2 linked regions of the Mus musculus genome follow. The protein of the gene in region 1 interacts with the protein of each later gene in a pairwise test. Links are inferred from orthologs where the notes say so. Each region holds a gene or a part of one and is shown in the gene's direction. Other genes may lie near its edges.

Region 1 (3,510 bases):
CTATGAATTCTGAGCAGAGCATACGCGAATTAGGCAATGAAGTCCCATCTGAGGACCTTGAACTACCAGGAAGAAAACCCAGCAATTTTCAGGTCCTCCAACCTTGTCGGGATGAAGGGGCATCTGCAGAGTGCAGGTGCGTGTTGGGTTTAGTGTTTTAATCTAAGAAGTAAGATTTGGAACAACATGCTTTCCTTAATACATTTTCCCTCTTCTTCATTTTTGGTGTCGGATAAATTTAATGTGCTAGTGACTTGGAAACAATTTCAGTGTGAAGGGGCGGGGGAAGAACTCTGAGAGAGGGGGCTAGGAGGGGGAGCAACAGTTGGGATGTAAAGAAATAAAATAGTTAATTAATTTAATAAACAATTTCAGGTCTCTATAAGGGCTTCCATTACTGCCATGGTATTGATATAATGTATCCAGATAGCTGAGAGATAGCACAAAATAGGTTTAAAGAAAGCAATGAAATTTGTTTCCTATTCAATCTTATTTTCTGTGACTTTATCATATAAGGATACTTGTGAAACTGGTGTAAATGATGTATTATTTATTAAAGCTCAAACCTGCCCAAAGGTGTTTATTTTTCCATCACTATGTTCTCTGTTTTGGGTGATTTGAATGCTTTTAGAGTAATCCTGTGCTCTGTCTGTCTTTTGCCTTTCTTATTATTCTACATTCTGTGCCTTTAAGTCATCGTCTGTGAGGAACTTTGAGTCTATGATACCTGTGTTTATTATGAGTGAGATTATGCTACTTTGATAATTAATCATGTGCAGTAAAGATAACACTAGATTTTAAAAACGACAACATAATTCTGATTTTTGTATTTTCTGGAGTTTTACTTTAAAAGTTTTGTGGAGTTGCTATTCTGTTCAGAATTGTTCAGATATATTCATTGATATCAATACATAATAAAATCAATAACTGTATTGGTGTTCCTCCTGCTTAGTGTCAGATTCTTACTGAAGTACAATTGGGAGTATATTTTAGGGTATAGAGGTGAGGATGATGGGAGAATGAATAAACATATTTATAAGAAACGTAAATGGCAGAGCGTATGCTCCTGCCAAGAGCTTAGGTCACACACTCATCAGTGCTTAATACTTAATACATCAGAAACAACCCATCTTCTTCTCATTTCTTCATTATACTTCCTGCTTACAGCTTGTGATTGTTGTCAGCTCTGGTTTTTTTCCCCCAAGCAGTTCATTCGTTCTTCCTTCCTTCCTTTCTTTCTTTCTTTCTTTCTTTCTTTCTTTCTTTCTTTCTTTCTTTCTTTCTTTCTTTCTCTCTCTCTCTCTCTCTCTCTCTCTCTCTCTCTCTCTCTCTCTCTCTCTCTCTCTCTCCCTCCCTCCCTCCCTCCCTCCCTCCCTCCCTCTCTCTCTCTCTCTCTTTCTTTCTTTCTTTCTTTCTTTCGGTGACCACATGCAATCCAAATATATACTTATTTTATTTTATTGGATATTTTATGTATTTACATTTCAAATGTTATCCCCTTTCCTGATTTCCCCTCCAGAACCCCGTCTACCATCCCCCTTCCCCCTGCTTCTATGAAGGTGTTCTTCCACCCCTCCCTGCACTGGCATTCCGCTACACTGGGGCATGGAGCCTTCACAGGACCAAGGGCCTCTCCTCTCATTGATGCCAGACAAGGCCATCCTCTGCTGCATATGCAGCTGGAGCCATGGGTCCCCCCTATGTGTACTCCTTGGTTGGTGGTTTAGTCCCTGGGAGTTCGGGGGGGGGGGTCTGGTTGGTTGATGTTGTTGTTCTTCCTATGGGGTTGCAAACCCTTTCCGCTCCTTCCATCCTTTCTCTAACTCCTCCATTGAGGACCAGGGCTAAGTCCAATGGTTGACTGAAAGCATCCACCTCTGGCAGAGCCTCTCAGGAGACAACCATATCAAGCTCCTGTCAGCAAGCACTTTTTGGCATCTGCAATAGTGTCTGGGTTTGGTGTCTGTATATGGGATGGATTCCCAGGTGGAGCAGTCCCTGGATGACCTTTCCTTCAGTCTCTGCTCCATACTTTGTCCCCATATTTCCTTTAGACAGTAGCCCTTCTGGGTTAAAAATTTGGAGATGAGTGGGTGGCCCCATCTCCCATCATTGGCCTTGCTTAACCTCTGGATATGGTCTCTTCAGGGTCTTATAGAATATATTTATTATTAACTCTTTAGGGAATAGATATTAATTTAATGTCTTTCAATTAATAATGAAAATGTGACTATGATACTCCTTGCATAACGTTGGGGAGATGATTGTTTCCATTATCAGAAAAGCAAAAAATATATAAATTGATCCCAAATAGAACTACAAATCAAAACATTTATAGCTTCTAATCTGAACTCTTGTCAGGTCACGGAACCAGGCCTAATTAGACTGAACCGGAGTCTCTTTTGGGATCACTGTGTGTTTTTTCCCATTGTAAATTGATATCTGTACGTTGATACATTTATTGTTTTGTGGTCATTGTACTTTAACTACATAAAAGTTTAAACCTTAGTATCTTTTTTTATTCATTGTTAATAAGAAATGTATTCCTGTATGGAATCATGTATATTAATTATTTAAAATCCTCTTTATTTACAGTATTGTGGAATGTGGGAAGAATTACGAACCTGTGATTTCTCATCAAGTTATCCCAGACTTAAATAAAGAGACATCAGTAGCATATCTTCAAAAAGAATTGGAAATTCTCAGAGCAAGCAATACAAAGGTATAGAAATGTAGAAGTCTAATTGCTATAAACAGTGTCTTAACTGTCAACAGTTCCAGTTTTCTCTGTTGTCCTTTAGTATTCAGTTTTATTTCATGTTTTAATTCTTCAATGGTCGCTTTGTGTTGCTTTGTCATCCAGGTATGATTTAGTTAAGTGATTGGTTATGAAAATAAGCTTTTTTGGTTTATGTAATATCACCCATTTTCATAAATCTTTGCTTGTGATTTATGTTATTAACAATACTCATATTTCATTTGATTTCACCATTATGGAATGTGGGCTACATTATCAGCCAATTTCATGCTATTCTGTTTATTTTTCTTTATTTTTAGTACCTACGCATGCTTTCATGTCAGTAATATATGCAATCACGCATCAAAGATGCAGACGGTGTTATATGCCCTGGATCCTACTCTACCATTACATGCATCCAGCTCAATGCACATGTAATGTTTATTCTTCTCTGGTTCTAACTCCAATTTCCCTGGTCTGTAAATAATTTTATTAAACAATGTTCACTTCCTATGGGTTCTGTTAAAATTTCTATACAGTTTTCTGATCTTACTAATTTTATTGTTTGACCTAATCAGACTGAAGCCTGAGTATTGTTTCTGAAGGGAAACAAGACAAATGACAAAAATGTAAGGAAGAATGGATGAAAGTAAAAAGAAACATTCTGTTTGAGCATGAGATGTTTTCTGTGCTTTGATTTAGCAGTTCTTACATACCATATTTAAATCAGTGACAGACAGACAGTGCCAATTCAAATGGAATGTGCTGAGACA
Region 2 (4,224 bases), on another chromosome or scaffold:
AAGACAAAGAAAACAAGAGAAGAGCCCAGGGACTGCCACTCACGCTCCAACCCCAAGGTCTCGGCGGCGGGTGCGGATGCGCTGGCCACAGCGGGCGGCACAGGAGCCCCGCCACTCTTGCGTTTCTTGGCTTTTTTGTGCTGTTTCGAGGACAGTGAGGATTCACTGTGGCTGCCTTCTGGCTCCTCCTTCTTCTGCAGCACCCCCGGTGGCAGCTCAACTTCTGACCTAGGATGGACATGGTGCTTGGCCCTGGGAGGGCTGGGGAACCCAAACCTGGGACAAGAGGCCTGAAAGAGGCAGGCTTCAGTCTTTGGTTCCTATATCTTGAGCCTAGGGCTTACCCCTGCCTGTCCACTAGAGCTAGTTAGCTGTCCATTTCTTAGACAGTGAAGCTCCAAGCCCAGTAGAGGCTCAGCATTTATGGTAGCTCAGTCTCCTTGCAAGATCTAGAAGTCCCAAATCCATACCAACCCCCCAGCCCCCAAGTTCTAGAGTTGGGAGTGAGGGGTATTGGTCAAAGACAAGAATCTCTGCCTTGAAGGAATGGGGATTTAGGAATCTCCGGGCATAAGACCCACCTTCCCAGCCCTTCCCTCCGAAAGCCCTCTCACTTTCTCTTGGGCCCATGAGCTGGTCTCACGATGGATGACGTAGGCTTGGGTCCTCTCTCCTCTCCTGCTTCCACCCCTGCATTGAGCCCTTCCTCTCCCACCTTTATTCCTTCCTCCTGGAGCTCTGGCTCTAAGCTGTGCCCCACGGGACACTTGTCTTCGCCTGGGCTCCTGCAGGTCTCATGTGCCGGCACCAGACACTCTTCTGTTCCTGGACACTAGAAGATACACATAGGTCATTGGGAGCCGATGGCCAGGCAAAGTATTGTGGGGATCAGTTATTCAAAGCCCAAAGCTGCTGCAATTGGAGTACATCTCCCTTGGTTGGGGGGGTGGTGGTGTCTCCTAACTACATATTGGCCACAAAATATGAAGGTAACCAGCTTAGGCCTCTCTACTTGTAGGGCTTGGCCTGGCAGTTAGAGGGTTGGGTTACCTAGAGTCCCACCTCTCCTGCCCTACCCCTCCATCTCCCGAGCTTTGAAATGCCCAAGTCACCTCAAGGCTCTCTGCAACCTGGGCTAACCCTACTGCTGCCCCATTCTGGGTTTCTGGCTGCCTCTTGGCCCCTTCTGAGGCCATAGGCTATGAGGAATCAGTGCATCCCTCGACAGTTGATCAGAGAAAACCTCAGGCCCAGAGCGGGGCTGGACTGGTACTCAGTGCTGGTAGGGGAGACAGGTTGAGAGGTAAGGCTCCTGTTGAGACCCGAGACTTAGAATCACTCCTCATCTGGAACTACAAACCCCAGAAGGCTGTTCGCCTTAGTCATTTGACCCCTGACCTCAGGAAGCCATTTGTTGCCAAGCAACAGCAACTCCTACCGGCTTGCAACAGTTGGCGGTAAAACTGCTCCAGTGAGAGCCCTCGCTGGGGCTTGGCGGGGGAGGGGCGGCGAACCCCTCTGGGCAGTGGGCTAGTCGCGGGGCGGTGGTACAGTCTGCGCCTAGAGACGGGCGGTCGTCGAGGGGTGGGGCTCGGTGATGGGGGCTACCGCGGGGATGCAGGGCTCGGGTGGAGGGTGGAAGCACCCGACAGGGATTAGAGGGGAAAGTTGCGCAGCGCAACAGGCCCTGGTGCACTGTTGCAGGGCTGCGGTAGGATCATGTGCGAGGGCCCGTCCCGCATCTCTGGACCCATCCCCCCAGACCCCACTCTCTGCCCGGACTACTACCGGCGGCCGGCCTCGGGTGAGTTGCGGGGTGCCTCGGCGGGGCGAGTACCCCGCCCCACCCCTGAGCACGGCTTTCCACCGCGTCTTGCTCCTCAGCCCAAGGACGCCTGGAAGGAAACGCGTTGAAGCTGGACCTGCTGACTTCAGGTCGGGACCTGGACTCCAGTCCTCCTCGTGGCCCTCGCATCAGGCCTGAAGCCCGAGAGATCCTAGAGCGTGGCCAGCGAGGCGTGGGGGACGTGCTGCTGCAACTGGGGTGCATCTCCCTCGGTTCGGGGGTCTCTCCTAAGAGTAAGTCCTTGCAGACGGGGTATTGAGGCATTCTTAGGTCAAAAGCAGAGATTAAAATAGGGTGCTTCTTAATTGCCTTGAGCCCATGCAGTTAATGTTCTTTTCTGGGTCTTAGTTTCTCTAGCATAAAAGAAGGGCAAAATACAATACCTCCTGGCAGGATCAGAGTCTATCCTTCTGCAGAAAGCCCTCGCTTCAAGCTTTCACACCTTGATGGAGCATTGTTTACTTAGTGCCTACTTTGTGCCAAACCCTGTAGCTGTTAGGAAAACGGGGTTAAAAAGTATGGGAGTCGTCCCAGGGTAGGGTAGTATCCAAGGGAGGCTTCCCCTTCTCTGAGGAGAAGAGAAAGGGGTAATGGGGGGGGGGGGATTTGGCACAGGCAGGACTGGGAGTAGAGGGGCTACAATTGGGATGTGTGAATTTAAAAAAAATTGGCGGGGGGAGTATGGGAGTCACAGTTGGAGGCAATGAACAAGACAGGCCATGTGTATAATATACACGGTGATTAATGGTATGCTAAATCATAAAATGTAGAAGATAACCAGGAGGGTGACTGTGGAAGGGAATAAGCTGATAACTGTGCTGTGGGTATGATGTCTAACTTCCATGAAGAGGCCTTGGTTGTATTTAAAAATGTGTGTGTATGTGTGTGTGAACCCAGGGCCTCTCTTCTACCAGACATCTCCCAGATTGTCTGAGAGGTCTTTCTGCCAAGGGTAGGGTGTGAATCTATATTCGATCTAGTCCGAGGTGCATGGCCATTTGGTAGGGCTGTCCCTAGCAATATTCCTCCCTGCACCCTTCCAGGGAAGAATCCAAAGGACCATGAGAAGGAAAACTTGAGGCGGATCAAAGAGATTCAGAGGCGCTTCCAAGACCAGGAACGCAGCCGGGAACAGGGTCAGCCTAAGCCACTGAAGGCACTGTGGCGCTCACCCAAGTATGACAATGTGGAGTCTCGAGTCAAGGCCAGGATGAAGGTATCTGTCCCAGGGAGGCAGACCTATCCATCTTGGCCAAGGCAATTATATCTGATCTAACTTACAGAGCATGTGTGTGCGTGCGTTCATGAGTGCGTGCGTTGGGGGAGATGGTGATCACAAAAGACTAAGACATCTGGGTGGACTTTCTCTGGGGAGCTGATGGCATCAGGTCAAGGATTAGGCTAGAGGAAGAGAACATTCCACAGAGATAAAACCCCACAGGTAGATTCTGGCATCAGAGGGAGTAGGGGCAATGGGCATAGTGGGCATAATTCAGTTTGTAAGGGGGAGAAGCAGAAGGTTTGAACAGAAAGCCAGCAGGGTACATATCTGAAAGAACTACCTAAGTTACCTAGTTACATGTGATATTGGAGATGGAATCGTGAGACACATGCACACTAGGTACTCATATAATATACCCACGACCTTCCTGCTAACTCATTCTCGGTTCCCCTATCTCTGTGTCTCTGTTTCACGCAGCCCAGGCTGACCTCAAACTCTTTGACTTTCTTTTTTGTTTTGTTTTTGTTTTGGTTTTTTTTTTTTTCGAGACAGGGTTTCTCTGTATAGCCCTGGCTGTCCTGGAACTCACTTTGTAGACCAGGCTGGCCTCAAACTCAGAAATCCGCTTGCCTCTGCCTCCCAAGTGCTGGGATTAAAGGCATGGGCCACCACGCCGGGCTACTCTTTGACTTTCTAACTCTCCTTTGTCCACCTCCTGAGCGCTGGGATTAAAAGTGTTCACTACCACACTACTTTCTCTTTTTCTTTTAATTCATTCATGACTTCTTTGAGATTAAAAAAAAAAATTACATGTCTGTGTGGCTACATGATTGTCTGTGCACCAGAGTCCAGAGGAGGGGATGGGCCTCCTGGGACTGGAGTTACAGAGAGCTGTGAACTGTCCTGTGCTATTGCTGAGTTGTTTCCTACTCCCACCCCCAACCATACCCCACCCCCACCCCACTATCTCCACTGCTACTTTGTTTCTAGACAGAGTCTCCCTGTGTAGCCTAGAATAGCTTCAAACCCATTATGTAGCCCAGGCTGGCCTTGAACTGGCCTAATTTTCCTGCCTTAGTCTACCGGGTTTGGACCACCACTCTCAGCTCATTTCTTTGAGTTTATAGCTTGCTCTTTAGCCCCAGGCTCTCCTTGG

The links. The genes of interacting proteins can lie anywhere in the genome.
Region 2: the proteins of Mipol1 (region 1) and Enkd1 interact in binary tests that used the Homo sapiens proteins (3 or more experiments, as listed by UniProt). The two-hybrid records come from large-scale screens. The link is inferred for Mus musculus from reciprocal best matches to the Homo sapiens genes MIPOL1 and ENKD1.

The regions. Positions count from the first base shown.
Region 1 is NC_000078.6:57,303,416-57,306,925, forward strand, and holds part of Mipol1 (mirror-image polydactyly gene 1 protein homolog), read left to right. Parts: 5' UTR 1-2; coding exon 3-136; intron 137-2,595; coding exon 2,596-2,722; intron 2,723-3,510.
Region 2 is NC_000074.6:105,705,404-105,709,627, reverse strand, and holds the start of Enkd1 (enkurin domain-containing protein 1), read left to right. Parts: upstream 1-1,419; 5' UTR 1,420-1,471; exon of another isoform or gene 1,472-1,704; 5' UTR 1,705-1,719; coding exon 1,720-1,804; intron 1,805-1,884; coding exon 1,885-2,079; intron 2,080-2,889; coding exon 2,890-3,062; intron 3,063-4,224. Other genes in the region: 4933405L10Rik (uncharacterized protein C16orf86 homolog), read right to left, coding at 44-228, 615-832, 1,113-1,196. UniProt on the Homo sapiens protein: Microtubule-binding protein which regulates microtubule organization and stability. Promotes the stability of astral microtubules and facilitates the proper orientation of the mitotic spindle.